Macaca fascicularis: one gene and its partners. The protein of the gene in region 1 binds, or shares a complex with, the protein of each later gene. Links are inferred from orthologs where the notes say so. Each region holds a gene or a part of one and is shown on either strand. Other genes may lie near its edges.

The links.
Region 2: the proteins of KCND2 (region 1) and KCNIP1 are in contact, whole or in part, in a cryo-EM structure (PDB 7E8E), measured with the Homo sapiens proteins. The link is inferred for Macaca fascicularis from reciprocal best matches to the Homo sapiens genes KCND2 and KCNIP1. Residues at the interface, in NP_036413.1 of Homo sapiens: Ala2, Val5, Ala7, Trp8, Pro10, Phe11, Ala12, Arg13, Ala14, Ala15, Ala16, Ile17, Gly18, Trp19, Met20, Pro21, Val22, Ala23, Ser24, Gly25, Met27, Ala29, Pro30, Gln33, Arg35, Lys36, Arg37, Thr38, Gln39, Asp40; in NP_001030009.1 of Homo sapiens: Thr60, Arg62, Glu63, Val66, Leu67, Arg69, Gly70, Phe71, Asn73, Glu74, Phe85, Ile88, Tyr89, Gln91, Phe92, Tyr101, Leu105, Phe109, Phe122, Leu126, Leu129, Leu130, Lys137, Thr141, Leu144, Tyr145, Val162, Ile165, His185, Phe189.
Region 3: the proteins of KCND2 (region 1) and KCNIP2 are in contact, whole or in part, in a cryo-EM structure (PDB 7UKH), measured with the Homo sapiens proteins. The link is inferred for Macaca fascicularis from reciprocal best matches to the Homo sapiens genes KCND2 and KCNIP2. Residues at the interface, in NP_036413.1 of Homo sapiens: Val5, Ala7, Trp8, Leu9, Pro10, Phe11, Ala12, Arg13, Ala14, Ala15, Ile17, Gly18, Trp19, Met20, Pro21, Val22, Ala23, Ser24, Gly25, Pro26, Met27, Pro28, Ala29, Pro30, Trp55, Asp57, Arg61, Arg100; in NP_775283.1 of Homo sapiens: Arg112, Gly113, Phe114, Asn116, Glu117, Cys118, Val123, Phe128, Ile131, Tyr132, Gln134, Phe135, Phe136, Tyr144, Leu148, Phe152, Phe165, Leu169, Ile172, Leu173, Arg180, Trp183, Ala184, Leu187, Tyr188, Met201, Met205, Ile208, Met211, His228.

Annotation. Positions count from the first base shown.
Region 1 is NC_088377.1:161,881,138-161,888,766, forward strand, and holds the start of KCND2 (A-type voltage-gated potassium channel KCND2), read left to right. Parts: upstream 1-2,599; 5' UTR 2,600-3,246; coding exon 3,247-4,361; intron 4,362-7,629. UniProt on the Homo sapiens protein: Voltage-gated potassium channel that mediates transmembrane potassium transport in excitable membranes, primarily in the brain. Mediates the major part of the dendritic A-type current I(SA) in brain neurons.
Region 2 is NC_088380.1:177,523,616-177,530,450, reverse strand, and holds part of KCNIP1 (A-type potassium channel modulatory protein KCNIP1), read right to left. Parts: intron 6,686-6,835; coding exon 6,561-6,685; intron 5,113-6,560; coding exon 5,043-5,112; intron 3,605-5,042; coding exon 3,534-3,604; intron 2,748-3,533; coding exon 2,640-2,747; intron 1-2,639. UniProt on the Homo sapiens protein: Regulatory subunit of Kv4/D (Shal)-type voltage-gated rapidly inactivating A-type potassium channels. Regulates channel density, inactivation kinetics and rate of recovery from inactivation in a calcium-dependent and isoform-specific manner.
Region 3 is NC_088383.1:110,826,812-110,834,193, forward strand, and holds the start of KCNIP2 (A-type potassium channel modulatory protein KCNIP2), read right to left. Parts: upstream 3,912-7,382; 5' UTR 3,688-3,911; coding exon 3,615-3,687; intron 2,688-3,614; exon of another isoform or gene 2,501-2,687; coding exon of another isoform or gene 2,437-2,500; intron 1-2,436. UniProt on the Homo sapiens protein: Regulatory subunit of Kv4/D (Shal)-type voltage-gated rapidly inactivating A-type potassium channels. Modulates channel density, inactivation kinetics and rate of recovery from inactivation in a calcium-dependent and isoform-specific manner.

The DNA of each region.
Region 1 (7,629 bases):
TTAAAGGCTCTATTTAGGTTCCTCGCCTCATCTTTACAGGAAAGCATGCCATTATTGGCATTGATTAAATATTCATGGCTCTCCACCCTCTGGATTCCATACCCAGCACCTGTCATAGTGCCACCTTACTGTCTGGACTAAGGAGGAGTTGGTTTTCTTATATTAATTGGTAGTAAGCTCCTCATTTCCATTTTCCAGGTAACATGCTTGTGTGTTTGTTTTCAGGTATGCAGGCTACATAGATTGGTTAACAAGCATCTTTCACTTAAACAAATAGATAAAGAGCAGGTGTCTTCAGTTCCATGTCCTCAAACTTACACGGTGCATTAGCTCTGACTTCATTACTAAACACAGTATTCCTTAAATCTCTATTTTGTAAACAAACAAAAAATTACCTTTGTATAGCTACAGAAAGTCCTGTACATGATAAGGATATTTTAAATTCTCTGGTTATTTTCTATACTCATTTTTTAGTTTATGTATTTTCTTTGACATATCCCATTTCAAATTTTCAAGGTTGACACTCATGCCTATGATCTCTAGGGCTTAAAAGTCAATTTCTGTACAGTACAACACACAGTCCACTTATTTTACAAACCAAGGGCAGTCAAACCAAGCCATGAAAAACAATTTTTAGGTAGAAATTAGGCTACTATTCTTAATCAATATAGATGAAGCCTCACTATTGCCAAAGATCTTAATTACTATGATGATGATGATTCAGTAATCTAGATTTAATTTTCAAAGGAATTTCAAAAGGAAACTCTCCACTTCTCATCCCACAACTATCCAAATGCAGACTCAAGCCTAAGTATTAAATCTCATATAAACAATAAAAAGGTGGGTGGCAGCGAAGGGGTTTGAGGCTGTTTATGTGATGTGAGTCTCTGTTGGATCAGTTAATTTTGATACTTCACCTTCCTAAAGCATCCAACCCTTAGGAGCAGATTTAACTTCTCGCCATCCACGCCATCTAGTGGCTGTATATGTTATGTTTGGTTTTAAGGATGATTCGTAATGACTCGGGGGCGGGGTACGCGAAAAACAAAACGGTTGGTCGCGACAATTTTCCTGTGTCTCTCCACCTCAGTTACCCCTCATGCGAACATCTTTAACTACTTTAACTATTTTAAATATGCGCAGTGATGCGCAGAGAGGATGAAGGGGACGCAAACTTTCAGAGACGCACGCCCCTTGACGATGACATTTAGAAAAGGGCTCCACATCCCTCTGTTATTCTAAAGGACGGGAAAAGGAGTTGTGTCAAGACCTCCACCGAGGAGACTCTCTGATTTTTTGGCAAGTTGGACAGATGGCATATTAATCCCTGCAACGTTTAACAATCTGGTTTGGAAAATAAATAAAAAGAGAAAGAGGAAATGCACTTAAAAATTCCGCGTCGGGGCTTTGCAGGTCTTGCCTTCCAGTCGCCCCCAGAAGACAACCAATTCCTGCGCATTCCGCTCCGCTCACTCTCCTTCCCAGCTTCTCTCGCTCTCTTTCCCCCCATTTTCCCACGCTCGCCTTGAACCGGGACTCGGGAGGCAGAAGCAAGGCACAGGTCCCCTTTCTCCTCTCCTCCACCAAACCACCGCAGCCCAGCGCGTGAAGCTTCCCTTTGTTCATCCGAGGCTCGCTTTCCTCCCCGGCAGATCCACCTGGATGCTCTCCCTCGGTGACATTTTGCGCCGGGGCTGGTGGGTGGCTGGGGTGGAGCGAGAGGAGTCCGAGGGGGCGGGGGCGGAGAAAGGTCAAGCCGAGGGAAAGGCAGGAGACGCCTTTCCTAACCTGCGTGGCGGGGCGTGCGCGCGGTTATTTATTTATTTTCTCCTTATTTATTGATTGCACTAGCAGAGCAGCGCGGGGAGCCCGGGGAGATGCAGGACCACCCACTGGCGGGGAAGCAGCTAGCAGCCCTCCCGCGCCCCCGCGCTGCCGAGCGCCTTCTGCCTCCGCGCTCGGACCAGAGCCCGTGCCGGCCCCGGCCCCGGCCCCGCCGCTCCGCCGCCGCCGCCCGCCCGGCCGCCCCGCAGCCCCGCCGCCCCGCCGCCCCGCACCGCGCTGGCCAGGTCCCCGCGACAGTGGCCCCGCAGTAAGTTGGCAGGAGCGAGTCCCCTCCGTTCTCGCCTCCCCCGCACCTTTTGAACTTGTTGCTGCTGCTCTGCTCGCCTGCGCCTGGCTTTTGGAAGGTGAAAAGGAGGAGGGAGGAACGGAGGGATGGGGGAAGGGGGAGAAGAGCTCGCTTGAGCTTTATTTATGCTCCCTCGGCGCATCGGATTCGGCTGCTCGCGAGCTGCTTTCTCTCCTCTTCCCTTTCCGGGTGCACGGCGAGGAGAAAGTCTCTATGCAACTCAGCCCCGGCGCGCGCTTGGCCAGGTATGTACTGCGGGCGCGGCGCGTTCTGCGCGGAAGCAGATGCTGCTGCCGCCACGGCGGCGGCGGCTGCCAGCTCCTGGGCTCTGTAACTGTCACACTGCACCTGAGCTGAACTTGAAAAGAGAGTGAAGGGGCGACTGGGCGAACGCTTTTGGCAGACACAGAGGGTGTTTGTAGACGTGGGGGAGGAGGATCTGTATTAACGCCCCCCACCGTACCCACTGCACATCACCTCCATCTCTGCAAATACAGCCCGAGGAGTAGAGGCAGCAGCAGCTGGACCCCCAAAGAGAGACGTGGGGCAGCGGCTGTGACCGTATCTCCTGAGCTACAACAACAGGTCGCCTTGTTGAGACTCCTTTGGCGGGAAGGGCTACTTGGAAAGGAAGGTTTGAAAGAGTGAGAAGGGTAGGTGGAAGGATTCCCTAATTCGTCGAAATAATTCTATTGGGTGACTCTCGTTCGTCTTCTCTATCCTACACTCCACATACTGACCCCATATTATCCAGACTGTGCCAGGGGAGAAATCAAAGACACCTGTTTGAAGAAACGACTGCACCTGTGTGCTTATTTGTGCCAGAGGGTGGCCTGGCCCACCTGCTGGAAGCGGTTTGGCTAGGTTCTGTTGGGGGCGATTGTTAAGACGTTGTATTTTGTTGTCATTACTCCAAACACCTGTCTTGGAGGGAAACTTGCCCTTCTGAGAACTGTGACTTTACCAGAAGCCCTATCTCGGAATAAGAGTGACACCTCTGGACCACGTTTCTCACTAGTACTTTGCTTGACTGGAGGAAGTGGGTGAGTTGTGGCTGCTTCGGTTGACCCATTGTAGACGCCTCGTCACCCTTCTTCCTTCCACTTCAAGGAGCCATGGCGGCGGGGGTAGCAGCGTGGCTGCCTTTTGCAAGGGCAGCGGCCATCGGGTGGATGCCTGTGGCCTCGGGGCCTATGCCGGCTCCCCCGAGGCAGGAGAGGAAAAGGACCCAAGATGCTCTCATTGTGCTGAATGTGAGTGGAACCCGCTTCCAGACGTGGCAGGACACCCTGGAACGTTACCCAGACACTCTACTGGGCAGTTCTGAGAGGGACTTTTTCTACCACCCAGAGACTCAGCAGTATTTCTTTGACCGTGACCCAGACATCTTCCGCCACATCCTGAATTTCTATCGCACTGGGAAGCTCCACTATCCTCGCCACGAGTGCATCTCTGCTTACGATGAAGAACTGGCCTTCTTTGGCCTCATCCCGGAAATCATCGGCGACTGCTGTTACGAGGAGTACAAGGATCGCAGGCGGGAGAACGCCGAGCGCCTACAGGACGACGCGGATACCGACACCACTGGAGAGAGCGCCTTGCCCACCATGACTGCAAGGCAGAGGGTCTGGCGGGCCTTCGAGAACCCCCACACCAGCACGATGGCCCTGGTGTTCTACTATGTCACGGGGTTTTTCATTGCCGTCTCTGTCATCGCGAATGTGGTGGAAACAGTGCCCTGCGGATCAAGCCCAGGTCACATTAAAGAACTGCCCTGTGGAGAGCGGTATGCGGTGGCCTTCTTCTGCTTGGACACGGCCTGCGTCATGATCTTCACAGTTGAGTATTTGCTTCGCCTGGCTGCAGCGCCTAGTCGTTACCGTTTTGTGCGTAGTGTCATGAGTATCATCGACGTGGTGGCCATCCTGCCTTATTACATTGGGCTGGTGATGACAGACAATGAGGACGTGAGCGGAGCCTTTGTCACGCTCCGAGTCTTCCGGGTGTTCAGGATCTTTAAGTTTTCCCGCCACTCTCAAGGCCTGCGCATCCTGGGGTACACACTGAAGAGTTGTGCCTCAGAATTGGGCTTCTTGCTTTTCTCGCTCACCATGGCTATCATCATCTTCGCTACAGTTATGTTCTATGCAGAGAAGGGGTCTTCGGCCAGCAAGTTTACCAGCATCCCTGCAGCATTCTGGTATACCATCGTCACCATGACAACACTAGGGTAGGTGCCATAATGAGAAATGGGATGGAGGTTGGGTATGGGTGAGGCGATTGTGGACCCATTAAGATTACATGATAATTCCGGGGAAATCATTTGGTTTCTTTCCTGAGTTTAGGAAAGCATTATCTAAATGGTTTGGCAAAACTCTTTTGATCTGTGAAATGGGTATAATACACAGGTTGAAGTGTTAAGGCATTGCTGGCAAATGTTGAGCATTGATGCCTGAAAGTGGTAAAGATACAAAGAAATTTTAGAATTCCTGAATATATGAAATAGTAACAATATTTATATTAATATATAAAAATATGACAATGAAAAACAAAATCTATGCACTAATAAAGACACAAATATATACAATGTATATTGAAATTTCTAGAAAATGGTTCAATGCATTTAAATGAAAAGTTTCCAGGTATACTTGAACTATTATTTTCATATGAATAGATACTTATGGTGTGCATTTTTCCTCTAAGAACCATAATTCTTATTTTACATCGTAAAACATAGATTGTAGATGTAATTATCAAAGTATTTTATAATATATATGCACATATTCATATGTATGCACTTTAATTATGGTTGATAGGTTATTCAGTGTTTTAGAATATCAGAGCTGAAACTGATCAACTCTACAATATGCAGTGGAATTAAATTTGCAACATATTTCAAACTCTAGGTTCATAGTTTCAAAAAAAGAAGCAAAAGACTGTCATCCACACATTTTTTTTTTTAGAATCTACAGATCCCATCAGGCAATGGGCCCACACCCATTAAATACACATAGAAGATAGAGCAGTATCTGGTAAGATGGATGGTCACCAAGGCTGGCTGTATTATAAAATTTGGGGTCCTAATTTCCTTTTAGAATTTTTTTGTGCATTCTTTTTGGGGGGTATAATGAAGTTCTGTAACCAAAGGGACACATTTCTGAATTCACGTTTTTAATAGACTTTTAGGGCTAGAATTAAGTTTTTTTAGGTAGTAGAAAAAAGGAAAGGAGGCAAATGATTAAGAATGTTAGTCAAACTGCAGAAAAGTGGCAACATTTTAAGTATTAGAGAATCTAATAAAATAAAATGGTTAGATCCTTTTACTTTTATGAGTTCTTAGATAAGCTAGGGAGTGATGTTAGTGCCTTTTCTTCAGCTTTATGCTACTATTCTTGCATAGGTAATCAGTTCAGTGAGGATTTGGTAATGGCTGTAAGAAAAAAAGTTATTCCCAAGGCTACTCTTTAAGCTTTGTGTTTCTGGATAATTTAATTGGCTTCTTTAAATGACATTGTGGTTAAAGTCGACTTAATTTTATTAGACATATTGTGTTGTACAGAATTTCTCATGTTATATGGCCAACTAATGGAATATTTTATATATGAAGAATTTTAGGCTAGGTTAAACAATAAATTGTGGTAAAGAAAAATACAATAATTTATGATTTTTATTTAGTCTCGTATTTTTTTTAAAGACCTACTGGTACATTTAAAAAAATGAATTAGTGAAAATCCATGTTCTACTTCTTGTATTGCCTTTTATTCTTGTTTGTAAATTTGTGACAGTTTATAAGGATAAGGATGATGCAGAATGCCTTCACAGTGTAGGTGCTTATTCTTTATCAAAGAGGTTTGTTTTTGTTGTCTTGTCATTTTCTAGCAGGATATCCTTATTAGGCACAAATGGGTAGTACAAATCACTATCATGACATCAAATTAGAAGCACAACTGAATAAAAAAGAAGATTTGGTTTTAATAGGAAGGGAAAACTATTAAAATGAAATACACTTTAAACATTTCTTATATAGGGCTGTGTGTCTTGAGGTATCAGAGAGTCATTTTAATGCTATATAGTGTCTATATGATTGAATATAGGTATAAAAAGAATGTTGATGAGAATTGTAATTTCGTGTAGCTAATAGTTCTGTAATAGACTTGAGAAGTTAGCATTGTTTTAAAACTTGTTTCTGGGAATGACTTTCCAATTTTTATTTTATTTTGAAGCTTATTTTTGTTTTTAGGAAAAAAAAATGAGGCAACATTAAACATTAGTGACAATTTTTTATTATGTAAATAAAATACTTAAAAGCACCTATTTTTGAAAATATTTAAGAAATTGAATTATAATGGCAGAGTAAAATCTATGCAGTGGATTTAGTTCACATGTTCCATAGGTAAGTAAGTGGATTAGAAGCATTGAATACACACACTTTCTTAGAACTTGGAAGCTAAGTGGAAGTTACTTTAAAGACTTAGCTTCACTGAAGTTGAACATTTTAATTTTCAGGAAATTAAGCTAATTAATGATCCTGGTTGAATAGAGCAGTCATACTTTTAAGATGTGGAGACGTCGATGTAATCAAAATGAGAACATATATGGACACTTGACAAATCATATGCTTTATAACAGAATTTCATAGGAAAATGTTTTTAATTTCTCATCAAAATATATTTATTATGTATTGTACCCTGAAGAAATAGATTCTTATAAGCACTGCCATTTTGGTGCCAACTTTGTGACTCAACAGTTATTTAATAATTCAAAATATTCAATAAAAGCCATTGCCTAACTTTATTGTTTAGGCTGTAGTTCTATACTTAGAGGATGAAGTGTAAGGTGTAAACTTTCTGGGAAATCATAGTTGGAGCCAATATCCAACTATGTCTGAATGATTATCAAGAGCTTTCCATTGTGGCTATTAATTTTAATGGAGCTAAATGTTCATCAATTAATGATAATAAAAGTGAAAATATGATTATAAACAGAGGTTATCGAAAGTTCCAGCTCATATGAACATTATCTACATGAGAATAAATAATCAAGAGCTTTGTCATTCAGGACTGGCAGAATCATCTGTGGCTTCTAGACTATTTTAGACAATATTCAGTTGGTTTTATGATCTGAAGAACTGAGTGTATCTGTCTTAGAACCAAGGTGTATTTGTATAACCATTTTTTTTGCTCCTTGAAATATCAAGTATATCGTTAGACTGTAAGTTGACTATGCTTACTATATAAGTCATTAGTTAATCTATCAGAAAAATGAACGCTTTAAAAATAGTTTTCAGGCTACTTCATTTCCTACTAGAATAGGAAACATAGAAAGCACAGTTAAAAAAAAAATGAAAAAATAATGTCAGAATTTTTTTTAAGTTTTAGATTGAGTAATCAGGTGGATCTGTTCCTCCATTTCATACGTTCTTTCTGAGCATATTTCACAGGTCCCTGAATCACCCTTTTATCCACCCACCTCCCCTTTCCATAATGTAAACTCTAGTT
Region 2 (6,835 bases), on another chromosome or scaffold:
ATAAGAGAGAACATGGGATGTTTGTCTTTCTGTGCCTGGTTTACTTCACTTAACATAATCACCTCCAGTTCCATCCATGTTGTAGATGATTAAATCTCATTCTATTTTACAGCTGAATAGTACTCCATTGTGTATAAGTACCACATTTTCTTTATCCGTTCATCTGTTGATGGACACTTAGGTTGCTTCCAAATCTTGGCTATTATAAACAGATGTACAACAAACATGGGAGTGCAGATATCTCTTTGATATACTGATTTCCTTTATTTGGGGTATATACCCAGCAGTGGGATTGTTGGATCATATGGTAGCTCTACTTTAAGTTTTTTTGACTCTCTATTTTGATCCATTGATCTATATGTGTATCCTTATGCCGATTCCCCGCCGTCTTGACTACTGCACCTTTTCATGAAGTCTTGAAGTAAGGTAGGTTTAGTCCTTTAACTTTGTTCTTTTTTTGGTTGTTTTGGTTATTTTAAATTTTTTGCATTCCCAAATCAACTGCTACAAAATACCTGCTGGGATTTTGATTGAGATCGCACTAAATCTATAAATCAAATTTGGAGAATCCACATCTTAACTATATTGGGCCTTCCAACCCATGAGCATGATATATCTCTGTGTTTATTTAGTTAGTTATTTCAGCAATATTTTATAGTTTTCAGTGTATGAGTCTTGCACCTATTTTGTTGAATTTTTCTCAAAGTATTTTGTGCTTTTTGATGCTATTTTTTCTTAATTTAATTTTGTGGTTGCTTGTTGGATGTAGAATTATAAATGATTTTTGTAAATAGAACGCATGTCTTCACTTTGTTAAATTCACTTATTATTTTTCGCAATTTATTTCTAGACTCTTAAGGTTTTCTATTAATACAATTGTATCATGTACAAATAAAGACAGTGTTAATTCTTCCTTTCCGGTCTATATCCCTTTGATTGCTTTAAATATAGTGAATTATATTGATTGATTTTTGAATGTTAAACTAACCTTGCATTCCTAGAATAAAACTCACATAGTTGTAGTGTATCATCCTTTTATATATTGCTGGATTCAATTTGCTAATAGTTGGTGAAAGCTTTTTGTGTCTGTGCTCATGAGGGGGACTGTTTTGTAGTTGTTTCCTCTCATAAGACCTTTTTTTCTTTGGTTTGGGTATCAGGGTACTATTGGACTTATAAAACAAGTTGCAAAATGTTCCATCCTCCTCTATTTTCCAAAATTTTTTGTAGGATTGGTATTAGAATTCACCAGTCCACCATCTGAGCCTATAATTTTATTTGGGAATGGTTTTTAACTGTGAATTTTTTATAATATAAAAATTTATATATAAAAAATTATAATATAATTTCTTTAAATGATACAGAGCTAGTCATATTTTCTGATTCTCTTTAAGTCTGTTTTTGCCTTTTGTGTCTTTCAAAAAACATGTTCATCTAACAGCTTCCCAGGGGAATATGGATGGGCCCCTTACCCTAGCCCTCCACCATCTGACTCTGTTGACCTGTCAGCCTCATCCTGCACCAATCTTCGGCTTCATAACTTCATCTGCAACCGGCTGCAACCTTTCTGTTTTTGAAACACATGAAGCTTTATCTTGCCTCAAAGCCTCTCTAGTGGCTCTTCCTTCTGCCTGGAACACTTTTCCTGGCTTTTTGTATAACTGGTTCCAGTATGACAACACCTCCTTAGAGAGGACTTTGCTAACCTTCCCTGCCAAAATATCTTCTACCTGTTGATTCCTTTTTGGCCTGTTTATTGTCCATCTCTCTATACTGCTCCAGTGTGAGGCCTAGTCTGATTGGTCACCTCTTTACTTCCAGCACCTAGAACACCTAATAAGTCTTCAAATGTGTGTTAATTAAAAACATGACTAAATGAATGAGGAATGAAAGTTGGATAAACTCTCTGAGCTTACAGAGAGAACCTTGCAGCGTTGAGGTGAAGATAATTGCGCTGATATCTACACTCCAGGCAGTGCACCTGGCACACAGGAGCTCAGTAAGTGGAGTGTTACACGATGCCAAATTCCAGCTTCCACTGAGAGACCATGGTACAGTGGATACTGAGGGTATTTCACTGGCTACAGACGTCTTCTGAGGTTCTAAAAGTGCGAAGCAGTGAAGATTCAGAAATTATTTGTGATAATTTCTTTAAAGACAGCTGTACCTTCCATTACCCCCTTGGAGGTTGTATTAGTAGGCAAAATAGGTTAAGGCCAATATGACCCAGTTATAGGCTCCTCTTAAAACCCTTTCTTTTCTATTCTAGGTGCTACCTACAATTCCACCATTTCAACTTTTAGCTTTAACTTGTGGCTCCCAACCTTCCCAAATGCACGTTCTCTAGGGAAGAGTAACTCTTTACACTGAAACAAGTCAGTTTTACCCACTGTGTAATGTCTACTGAATCTAGGTGACCCAGGGAGAATGAATCGGTTTAATCCTTTCTGGGCGCTTGGGAACAGGCAGGGTAGGGCAATGAGGGAGGCCTTCTTTATTTTGCCAGGGACCAGCTCTGTTAGCCCCAAAGCAGAGCCTGCCTCATTCAGACAGCACTATCCTCAAGCCTGGGACTGTTTTCTGTTGGGTTAGTTACCTTCACTGGAACCCTCTCACACCCCTGGCTCCGGCTCACTTACCTCTTTGTTAATATATCCATCCTTATTGATGTCATACAAATTAAATGTCCACCTTAGTTTCTCATGGACAGTTCCTCTCAGTAAAATCGACAGAGCGGTTACAAAGTCCTGAGAAGGGGAAAAGGCAGGAGTGACATCAGGCAGGGTGAAGCTGTGTCTTTGGGTCAGATTGTGATACTCTCACAGAGTGGTGCCTCCCATGTCCTCTTGTCTGCCTGGAGGACGTGGCTATGCTCAGTGAAGAGCTCCTGCCTTCGGGTCCCTACCCTGCCCCATTTTTTTTGCCAGGTGCCCCCTTGAGGAAGAATGGAGCTCTGAGAGACACAGATCAATGCAGCCAACCCTGTTATTGCCTTATCCATGGCTGCAGTGGTCAGTCTATCATCCCAGTGGCCATATGGCCTAGTGGCTGAGGACGCAGACTGTAGGAACAGTTTGTATTGAGGGTCATTCTGCCTGCATTCAAATCCATCCTTTATTATTTGTGTGCTTTTTGACCTTGGGAAAACTACTCTCTCTCTCTTTGCCTTACTCTCCTCTTCTGTAAAAGGGTAATAAATAATAAAATGCTACCCTATAGGGTTATCGTGGGGATTAGAGTAAATGAGTTAGTACATCCAAAGCCCTAAGTACAGGGGCTGCCACTGGGAAGCAGTGTGCCCGGGAGCTCACACACTGTTGTTATTAGTCCCCCGAGTCCCTGAGTTCCTGCAGGCCAGGCAAAGTTGCTACTGCTTCTCCCCATCTTTAGGAAATGCTTACGAATGGATAAATGTGTCTTTGGTCTGACTGAGAGCTTTTGATGGTCCAGCCCTTCCCCCAATGCCTTGAGATTTAGAGGGGGAGGTGATGCAGAACCAGAGGACCCCTAGAGTGGACCCCAGATGAGCATACCTCGAACTTCACGGAGCCTGTCTGAGTGGTGTCGAAGGCATTGAAGAGGTAATGGGCATACGTGCTGGCATCTACAAGGCAGAAAAGGAGGGCAGGTGATGGGGGCAGGAATTCCACACAGGGAGAACCTTCCAAACAAGGCAGGGCTTCGACAAGAAAGAGAGGAGAGCGATGCTAGGGTGATGGAAAGAAGAAAATTATGGAGTGGGGCCCATTGACTCAACTCTTTGGGTTTGGGTGGGAAGTTAGATCTAGCAAAAGGTGAGATGAGCCCTTATCCCTCCCTCTAGCATCGTGAGAAAACCTTTCTCCTGCCTATCTATGCACGGAATCGTCAGTGTATGAATGACACAGTGACTGCATGACAATGTTCTTCTGAGCGGCCATGCAATGCCTGGGATGAGCACGCACTCCAGAGTAGAGAAATCTGAACTTGGATGCCGCTGTACTACATAAGCTGTGTGACTGTGGGCATCAAACATGACCTCTCTGAGTTTCCCTTTCCTACCTCTGTACAATGGGATGGAGCAAGACCTATCTCTTGAAATTTGCGAAAAAGTATTTTAAACTAGAGCTATGCCTGGCATACAGTAAGAACTCAATAAACAGTGGCTTAGTGGAACTCAGAAAACTGCAATTCTGGGGCCTGCATGGGACAAAACTGCCTCCTGCACCTGATCTGGGTAGGGGCCCCGCACACCAAGGAAGGCGTCTGTCTGCTGCCAAAAAGGCCCTTGAGGAACAGGGCCCAAGAAGTGTTTGGAATGCTTGGATCTGCATTTTGTCAGGATCCGGGGAAGGTGTCTTGCAGGAGACAGCTCTTGGAGACAGGATGCAAGGTGGCATGTGACACATGGAGGCCACAGGAGGAGCCACTGATGTGGTCCCAGGCCCATGGGGACAGAGCTGGTTCCCGAGTCAGGCAGGGCGACAGAGCAGCTGCTGTGGGCCTGGCACACTTGTAACCTGGCTTAATAAGCACAACTTTATGTTTCCTGTCTCTTTTTCATTTAGTTTATTTTTATAGTCTTGGGTATTTACTGGAGTTCTTTTACAAAATTCCAGCTTGTCTCAGCTATTTTAAGGAAAAGAATCAAAAGTGCCCTGCACAATGGTGGCACCAGAATGGCAAAACTTGTTTCAGACCCTTATGGAATCTAATCCTGGTCTGCTACTCACTCGCTGTGCAACCTTGAGTACATTGCTTATCTTCCCCGAAACTCAGTTACCCCATCTGGGATTATAATACCTGCTTTCTAGAGCTGTTCTGAGACTTTGTGATGTTGCATTATCAGCCCTTCTTCCCCTTCCAGGGTGGGTTCGTTTTCAGAGTTCTTTCCTGCTAAAGCTTTGGAGACTCCCACCTCTCACGACGAGGGAGGTGTCCTGCTCTGAGTTTGCCCCTTCCTCGAGAAGGAAGCAGATAGCAAGGAAGAGTGGACTTGGAGGAGGGGAAGGCTATTCACCAGAGAGGGTGCTGGGCAAGATAGATTTCAAGGTCAGACTCACCTCCGTGAGGGAAAAACTGAGCATAGATCTGCTTGAATGTGTCTTCGTTAACCACACCACTGGGGCACTCCTGTGGGAAGGGGAGAGAGTCAGCAGGAGGTGTCTGAGGGCCAGCACTAGGAGAAGACTGGGCCCAGCCTTGGTGTCTGGGGTTCCTCATGATCCCCAGGGGCAGGGACCTGTGCATTTCCACTTCTCCGAAGTAACTCCATCTCAGGACTGGAGCTGCTTTGCCAAATGATGAGACATTGTCAGAGAATGGGCACAGTGAGGTGGAGAGATTTGGGGCCTTAAGAGCAGAAAAACCTGGGTTTAAATCCTGGCTTAGCCAATAAATACTAAGCTTTGTGACTTTGGCCATGCCAGTCTCTGATTCTCAATATCCTTACCTGTAAAATGGGGCTAACAATACTTTCCCCAAGGGTATCTTATGAACCTATGTTAGGTGGTACTGAGTCCATGGTAGATGCCAAGCAGTGTAGATTTCTTCTCTTTTCTGGATGCTGTTCCCTCTGAGCCCAGTGCCTGCCTGGGAAACTTTCCCACAGGATCCTGCTCCAACTCGGCTGCCCACTGCTAATGCTGCCATCAGAAGGAAAGAAGCCCTGATGGTAGGAAACCAGGCACTTGGTATGTGCAATCAAGGCTAGTGTGGAAGGAAGAGGCATCCCAGCACCTGTCAGATGACTCCCAGGAGGGGCTAGAATCCCTGTGGGTCAGCACTTTGGAGAACAATGAGGCTGCGGTCAGTTTGGAATTGACCCAGCTCAGTTCTACCTATAGACTGCACCTGGAGGGAGGGTGACCAGGTGCACATTGCTCTAGCCCACCCCACTCCACACCACCCCAGGATTTGGGAATAAGATTGTGCTCTGAGAGTTAAACTTAAAAAAAAAATAGATTAATATCCAGGATTGCATCTGAGAGCTCTCAAGCTGACCTGAGAATGCAGGAACATATTAATGTATTTAAAGTAACAGCTAAACAAGGCACTCCCATCCTCTGACTCCACTTTTGATTGTAACCTGGCTTCCACGTGGCTTCTAAGGAGAGCGGGTCCCAGCGAAGGGAGAGGAGTGTCTGGTCCCACTGTCAGTTCCATTTCCTGTGGTAAATTAATACACTGACATTCGGCTTACACATCAGTCTCGGTGAGCCTGGTTAGCATGAGTCAGCAGGCCTAAATCCCATTATTGTGGGGGCACCACCAAGTTGGAAGGTATGACTATGTTAAGGGTTAAGGCTTGACCCTGGGCTGGGGTGAATTCCCTGAGGATGTGCCACCCTGTGAAGTTTCTGGGCAGTTGGCCGTTTACTGTCTCCTGACTTTGCTCCATCCTCGCCTGGAGCCTTCCTTTCCAACCAGGTGATCTCCCTCTCACGTCCCCTTTATAGAGCTGGCCTTCCTTGTGTAGCCTCACATATGGGAAACTGCCTTATGAGCTCCCTTGGCATTGGGAAGAGCTTAGCCTTACGTGGGAAACCCCCCGAGGCCTTCAGAGCCTGCGCGGGTCTTACGTTTTTGAAGCCTCGATAAAGGACCTGCAGCTCCCTCTTGGTGAAGTTGGTCTGGGCCTCAAGCTGCTCCAGTCCCTCGGGCCGATGGCAAACCATGGTCATCTCCAGCTCATCTTCAATCTTATCTGGAACCAGAGGAGATGGCATTGGAATGGTTGAACTTGGGGGTCACTCTTGTTAGGTAACAATCTGGGCTGTCAAAAGAGTGGTGTCACGACCTGGGATCTAGGGCTGTGGGCTGGGGTTGCACTGCCAATGGCCTTCCTATCTTGAAC
Region 3 (7,382 bases), on another chromosome or scaffold:
GTGGGCCCTGCGTGGGCGGCGCGGGAGGGCCGGCCCGGCAGGCATAGGATTGAAACCCTGGAGACTTCCCATGTGCTCCTGGCCGCCTGAGAGGAGCTCACCCTGGCCCCATCATGTGAAGCATCCGCCCCCAAAGTTCCTGGACTAGGGGGGCAGGGAGGGGTGGCGCGGACTCAACCTTCTCAGAGAGCATTTTTCTGGGTTCTGGCGGGGAGGCCAGGCAAGTACATGTGGGTTTTGAGAAAAGAGCTGGATGGGGAATGAACCGTATCTTTTATTGCCTCCTTTCAGCCCCCCTTTCTCCGCCTGTCGCACTCCTCCCCGCACCCTGCACCCTGCCCCCACCATTTTGGCATAAAGAGCCGAAGGAGTAAGAGGACAGAGTTGTCATGGCAACTCCCCACACTTCCACACTTTCTGGACCAATGGAAGACAAGACAGGAGGAAGGAGAGGAGGCCAGTGTATTGAGGTGGCAAAGAAGAGGCGGCAGAGTTGTGTCCCACTGTTTTCTGTCTCCCGGCTCCAAATTCCTTGCTCTCACAACTGTTTCTATTTGCGTTTGTCTCGGTGCGGCAGGTTTACAGACTTTACCACCACACGCTGGCTACAGCCGAATGCTTCGAGAAGAGCCCCACCCCCACCCCCACCCCCCCACTTCGGTCCCACTGAGCCCCTTTCCCGGACTCTGGACTCATCCCTATCAGGTTACACTCCAAGTAAACCCTTCCAGGACCCTCTAACGCCTTCAAATTCCTGGGAAAGCCTACGGGAGAGATATAGTCCCGCTCTTTCGACTGGGATCCTGCATATTTGTTTGAAAAGCATACTTTTAAGTGGTGGGAATGACCTCCTAACTCTGGGCAAATCTTACCAACTTGACGGCGACCACCCCATCGCGAAGCAGCTCCGTGCGCATGGCTCCTCGCAGCCACACGGGGGCACCCCCGCCCCGGGAACAATACTCAGGGCCGGAGGGACTCCAAGGAGAGATCCCAGTTCGGGGACCGAGCTCAGGACTGGCCAGTCAGGCTCCAACCCTCTCCGCATCTTCTCTTGGCCTTTCTCTCTTCCACTCAGACAGGGCCGCCGCTAAACGTAGCCTTTCCCCTCGGAACCGCACTGCCCAGCGGCCCCACTGGGCTGGGAAGACCCGAGGGATTAGACAGGGGTCCGGGTGGGGCTCGGACTGTGTTTTGTTTTGTTTTCCTAAAGAGTCTCCCAGCTCCGTTTTGAGCTTTGGGTTGGGAGTGGGGAAGCAAAACGGTCGAAGGTACCCAGGATGCCCTGAGGTGTAACTTTCCAGCTGCCTCCCTGCAAGCCTGATGGGCCAGGATGACGGGAGCTGGAGATTACCCTAAATCTGATCCCAGGAATCCCACCTGCAGGCAAGGGAAGGCGAGGCCTGGCGCGCGCTTCAGCACCGCGGACAACGACTCCCCTTCGTGCTTCAGCTTAGGCATCTCGCAGCACTCAGAGCTTGGCGCCGCTGCCCGCCCAGAGTCTTCGTTAACACTGGCGTCCCAACCTGATTTGTCTCCCACTATAAAATAAGCCGCCCTTCGAGATGAGAGCTCCTGGTAGTACTATGTCTACTTTCCAAGTCCTGTGCGGAGCTATCTACAGGTAGGCTGCTGTAGACCCGTACCACGATTCTTGACGCTTGTCAACATTTGACCTTTCCATTTCCCTTGGGAGGCAGGCAGGCAGCCAGGAAGTAACATTCTCTTTTACAGATGAGAAAGGTGAGGCCAAGAAAACAAAAGTCACATAGTTGGTACACTTCTATTCCTGACTGACCTGAGGCAGGGCATCTCCAAATACAAACGCTTCCGCCACCCAGTCTCATTCAAATAGCTAAGTGCGGAAGGGATGGTTCCATTAAGCAGGAGAACCCCTTAAAGCTGGAAGCAAACACTGACTTAATGTGATGGTATTGAAGGCCCCTAGGCCCTTACTACTCTCAAGAATTCTAAGATGGAGGTGGAAACAGAATTCATGGAAGTGCTGGACAGCGGGCCCTTTGGATTCCATCCAGCTCTGAGGGGCATCTGGCATGCTCTCTCATCTGGGGCCAGCCTGAGTGGCTCCCCTGATCCTGACTAGGGCCTTCCCAGGAACAGTGATGGGGGGTGGGGGTAGGCACATGTTCAAGGCACCTCATCCTAGTCCCCTCCCCCTTCCCAGGTCTCAATCTCACTCCCCTCAGGAAGGACAAGGATCATGGCTTCCCTCCACCTCCCCAGCTTTGTTTTGGCCTCAGGGAGACAGCCTCCCTCCTCCCACTCTGCTGGCTTTCTAGAGCAGGCTGCACAATGAGAGACACAAACACACACATGGAAATGTACGAAGGGTGACACAGTCACCTACACAAACACATGGCTCTTCCTACCAAACCCAGGAACATGCACATGCACAGATGTACTGGTCGCACATACCTCCCCATGTGGGAAAGAGAGGATGCCCAGGCAGCCAAGTGGTTTGGGGGGACATACAGGACATCACATGGAACTTCCCAAGCCTAGAGCTTCTAGCTCTGGCTCTGGAGGAGAAGCAAGAGGATGTGTTTTCCTGGGGTTTGAGTGAAGTTCTGAAAGGTTTGTTGGGGGTTGAAGGATTCAGTTGTAAGAATAATCTGAGTACATGATTTGGTGTGGGAAGAGAGGGCTGACCCAGCACTAACTAAAGCCTTCCTACAGGGGCTAGGTGCTAGAGCCATAAGGTCTCTTGGAAACCAGGCTGGGCAGCTGAACACTAGAGTCCCTCCTTGGGTCCACCTGGGCTATTTGCGGAAAACTTGGTGAAGCAGTGGGGTGTACTAAAGACCCCTATCTGTACCAGGAAGCTGGAGAGGCAGCAAGGATGAGACACGTCATGGACACTCACAGAGCCCTGCTGCAGACATCACCACATGAAAGTACACAACTAGCACCAAACACTAATCTCACAATCACAAAACACAACACAACCTACTTTAACAAATGCTTGCCCAGAGGGCTTATGGTCATGAAGTCTACAAAGAGACAAGCCACCCTAAAGTGGAGCCCTGACACACTCTGGTAGTTACACACCACTTCATACAGAATTACACACTCAAAACACATCATTGCACATATAACAGAGACACATGGTCAAAACAACTTCATCAGTACAGCCAGGGTCCTATGCAACCTCAAACATCTGACAAGACCATACAGTTGCACTGCCACATAAAATCACACTCACCCTAGCTGTCACCAAGCCCAGGGCACATGGCAACCAGCTGTGGGAGGCGCGCGCGCGCGCGCGCGCACACACACACACACACACACACACACACACACACACACACAGAATGACAGGCGCTCACGCACGTAACACCTCCCACTCCAGATACCCTCCCAGCCCTGTGTCACATACGCCCACACCTGCTGCCTCTCCACACCTGCCTCTTCTGTTCCTCCCCAACCCCTGCGGGACCCAAAGCTTTGAACCCCAGTGTCCTGCCGCCCAGACCTGCCAGAAGAGTGCCTGGGAATGGGGCAGAGTGTGGGTGCGGGCCAGGTCGGGGTCGGAGAGGCGGAAGGGTGTGGAGGAAGCCACCCTCCCTCCCGCGACCCCCACGTCACTGACTCACCCGTGAGCTGGTCGTAGGATCCGTCCAGGTCTCGGGAATCGGACAAACTCTCCTTGCGGCCCTGGCCCCGCATGGCCCCCGGCGCCCCGCTCCCGCCCGGTCCGTGGGAGGGGGCGCCGGGTGGCCGGGATAGGGCGCTCACACGGCGCCCCCTGGCGGCCTAGTGCACTGTCGGGGCTGGGGGAGTTCGGGTTGAGGCTGTCTGAGAAAGGGCCCGGGGTCTGAGGTCTACCCGGGGGTCCTGGAGCAGGAGAGGGAACACTAGGCAGCAGGTGAGCGCAGAGCCGGAGGCAGAGCGGAGCTGAGCGCGGAGCCGAGCCGAGCCGCCTCTCTCCTCCCGCCCCCTCCCCGCGGCTGTCACCGCCGCCTCCCCCCTTTGGCGCTGCCGGGATTGGCTCCCCCTACCCCCGCCCCCACCCTTGCAGCCCGGGGGAGGCACCCGGTGAAAGGGTGAACTGCAAAGTGCGGGGAAGGAGACTAGCTCCCCAGCAATCTGCCCCTAAACCAAAAGTCACGGGGCTTGTTGGGGGGAGGGTGGAGAAGAGCGCGGGACAGAAGAGCCACACTGAGAGGAAACCCCGCCCCTAATTCTCAGGCACCCCTTCTCCCTTCCCCCTTCGTCAACACAGTTCTGGCTGAGGCAGAGCCTGGGGTATCATCTCTGAGTCCCCGCTCCGTTTGCCTCCATGTCAGCCTCTATTTTCTCTGTTGTTCCTCCTCCCATGTATGCGTCTCTTGTGGTCCCAGACGGTCCCCACCGTGCTTAAAGCAGGATAGGGATGCAAAGGAAGAGTCAACCCAGCCTCTAATATTAGCAGGCTCATCGTGAGCCAATGGACTACTATTTCGTCTTCTCTCAAGTTCCAGAAGGACCCCAACTCTCACCCACTCCACAACCCCGTCTCTGGAACCTATTCACTCTCAGGGTGCCTCCTTCACTGATCTAATGACCCCCAATAGACCGACTAGGAAGATAAGAAAACTAGTGAACCATGTCAGTTTCTCAGACATCCTTGCTCTTTTGTTCCTCCCCTGCAGCAACTTTTCTGCCCCTTCTCTTTTGTCACCTGTCCTGTCCTAGATTCCTTGTTTTCCAGCAGATTTGGGGAGCGACTGACAGGTTTGGGGATCCAAGTCAAGATACACAGTAGGAAAGAAATGCCCTTGTTATGAAACCCCTTCTTTAAGATTAGCTCCTTTTCCAAAGGCAGGGCTAGCACAGAAGCTGGGCTCCCTCATCTCCCAGGAATGGATCCTGAATGTTTGAGCTCCACAGGTCTGACCTTCCTCAGGATGCTTCTGGGCTCCGCACCCAAAAGCCCCCCAACCCCTTGCTATGAGGATGAGCGGCCCTTGTCTGGTGGGTCTGAAGGAGTGACCTGTTAAGACCAAAAACTTTAAAGTGACTCAAGCACACTTAATTTCTTCAATTAGCTTTAATTTCTAACCACTTGATTTAATCAATCCAGCAGGAATTGTGGTGGGAGTTCCAGCCTAAGAGGCGGAGAAGTGGCTGAAGGTAAGATTGTCTTTAGGAGCAGTGCCCTGCGATTGGATCTCCCTTGGCTGTGGAGGAGCCTCCACAGACCTGGCATAGAAGCTGGGCATAGAAAGTGCTTGGGCAGCTCCTGTTGAGGTTGTTTTCCAGGAGAGAACGGACACTCTCATTTGGAGTTCTTGGAATAGGTATATGTGAATAAACTGGTAAAGAGAAGGGCCTTTACAATGGAGGGCAAGGAGCCCTCTGCTTAGTGCCCCATGCCCTTGACTCATCCTTATTCACTTGGAGGAAAGGCTGGCAGGAATCCAGAAGTGGCCAAATGGGTTGGCTTGCCTCCTCAATACCACTATGTTTGGAGATAAGGGAACTAACTCCCTTATCCCTCCTTCTACCCAGAGGGCAAGGGAGGTTACAGCTCTGTGAACCCAACTGGCCTCTACTAGGGCCAGGAGACTCAGAGGAAGGAGGAGAGTTCACAAGGGTGGGTAGGGGTCCCCTAGCCAGATGGGAGCAACACCTAGGAGATTACCTTACCTCTATGTTTGAGGAATGAGTCTGGGCAACAGAGATTAAGAAAAAAAAAAAAAAAGGCAACACTAAAGACAGTCCCACACAAATCAATTTTTAATAATTTCAACTTGCCACCAGCTCCAGATCCAGCTGCTTTGGGGGTTTATCACCAGGGAAAATACTAAATGCCCCAGGCTGAGCTATCCATTCAGTGATCAGATGACCCAGCCTGTGATCTCTTAAGAACCTACATCTACACATGGCAGCCTGTTAGTGGATTCTCTGGAACTAGCGCATAGCTGCTTAATGTTAGAGCCAGAACTCTGGTTGCCAGGGAGGGCAAGTAACCCAAAGAGATTTTAGGTTAAATGGATAGCAGCCCAGGTGGTCCCAGACATGCTCTCACTGCTGAATTCCTCCACTTATTCCTAGAATATACCGGTGCTGTTTGCTCCCGCCATCCTGAGGGCTTTAGAAAGTGCTTTAAAAAGGGAGGATCTCGAAGCAGCAGCTATTTCAGAGGCAGCTGTGGGGAAAGCCTATAGAGATTCCATGGAAGCTATCCAAGGGAGGAAGCACAAGCCAACTCCCCAAAAGTCAGATTTGCCTGTGGCCCCACCCAGAATCTGAGTGGACAGAATAGAGGCCTTATGCATGATGCTCACCTGGCCTGTTTCAGATGGAGGGCACCCTACCCCCAGGAAGTTCTCTCCCTCCCAGGCACTAAACCACGACAGGAACAGATTCCTCCCCAGAGGAAATTCTCAGGCAGGTTGGATGTAAACAACAGCAGGGTAAGGGGGTGGAACACGTGGAGGGGAGCTTAGCAGAGGCAGGAGAGGCTGCCAGAGGAGGGGGGGCTAGGGAGGCGGGGGAGCTGCTGGAAAGGGAACCAGCAAAGTAGGCACCTTGAGGGCTCCAGAAAACCTGTCAATGTTTATTTCATACATACCCTAAAGACAGAGTAAATGAGATTAGAAACGAAAAGTTAAGGTTGTGACCCTATTGTGCTGATGGATCAAATGGGTCAGAAGGAGGGGAAAGATAATGGTACTCCTAGTGCCAACACTAAAATTCAAAAGGCGGTGGCCAGACAGCAGAGCACTGGGCAGATTCTCATCTCCAGTTTCCCAGAGGAGTCAACTCTGAATTCAGAAAATAGGAAAACTGGCCGGGCACGGTGGCCATGTCACGGTGGCTGACAGGAACAAACTCTAGAGGATGTGAGAAGAACATCTAGGCTCCCAGCACTTTGGGAGGCTGAGGCGGGTGGATCATGAACTCAGGATATTGAGACCATCCTGGGTAACATGGTGAAACCCCATCTCTACTAAAAATACAAAAAATTAGCTGGGCATGGCGCACACTCCTGTAGTCCCAGCTACTCAGGAGGCTGAGGCAGGAGAATCGCTTGAACCCAGGAAGCGAAGGCTGCAGTAAGGCTGAGATCACGCCACTGCACTCCAGCCTGGGTGACAGAGGGAGACTCCATCTCAAAAAAAAAAAAAAAAAAGGAAAAAGGAAAAAGGTACCCCATTCCTACCCTACCCTAAATCTGAGCCAAGGGTCCTGATGACTGGACAAAGTGCCAGTGGGGGCAGGGGACACAGATTTCAAGCCAAGCACAGCCCCAGGCCCAAAGGAAGCAGGATGTAGCTCCAGCTATATCTGAGAGTTCATCTGTTTTCAGAAGCCGAGCAGAGCCACTGACTTTCAGGGTGCTGGCATTACCCTGAGGCTTGCCTCACCAGCTCCCG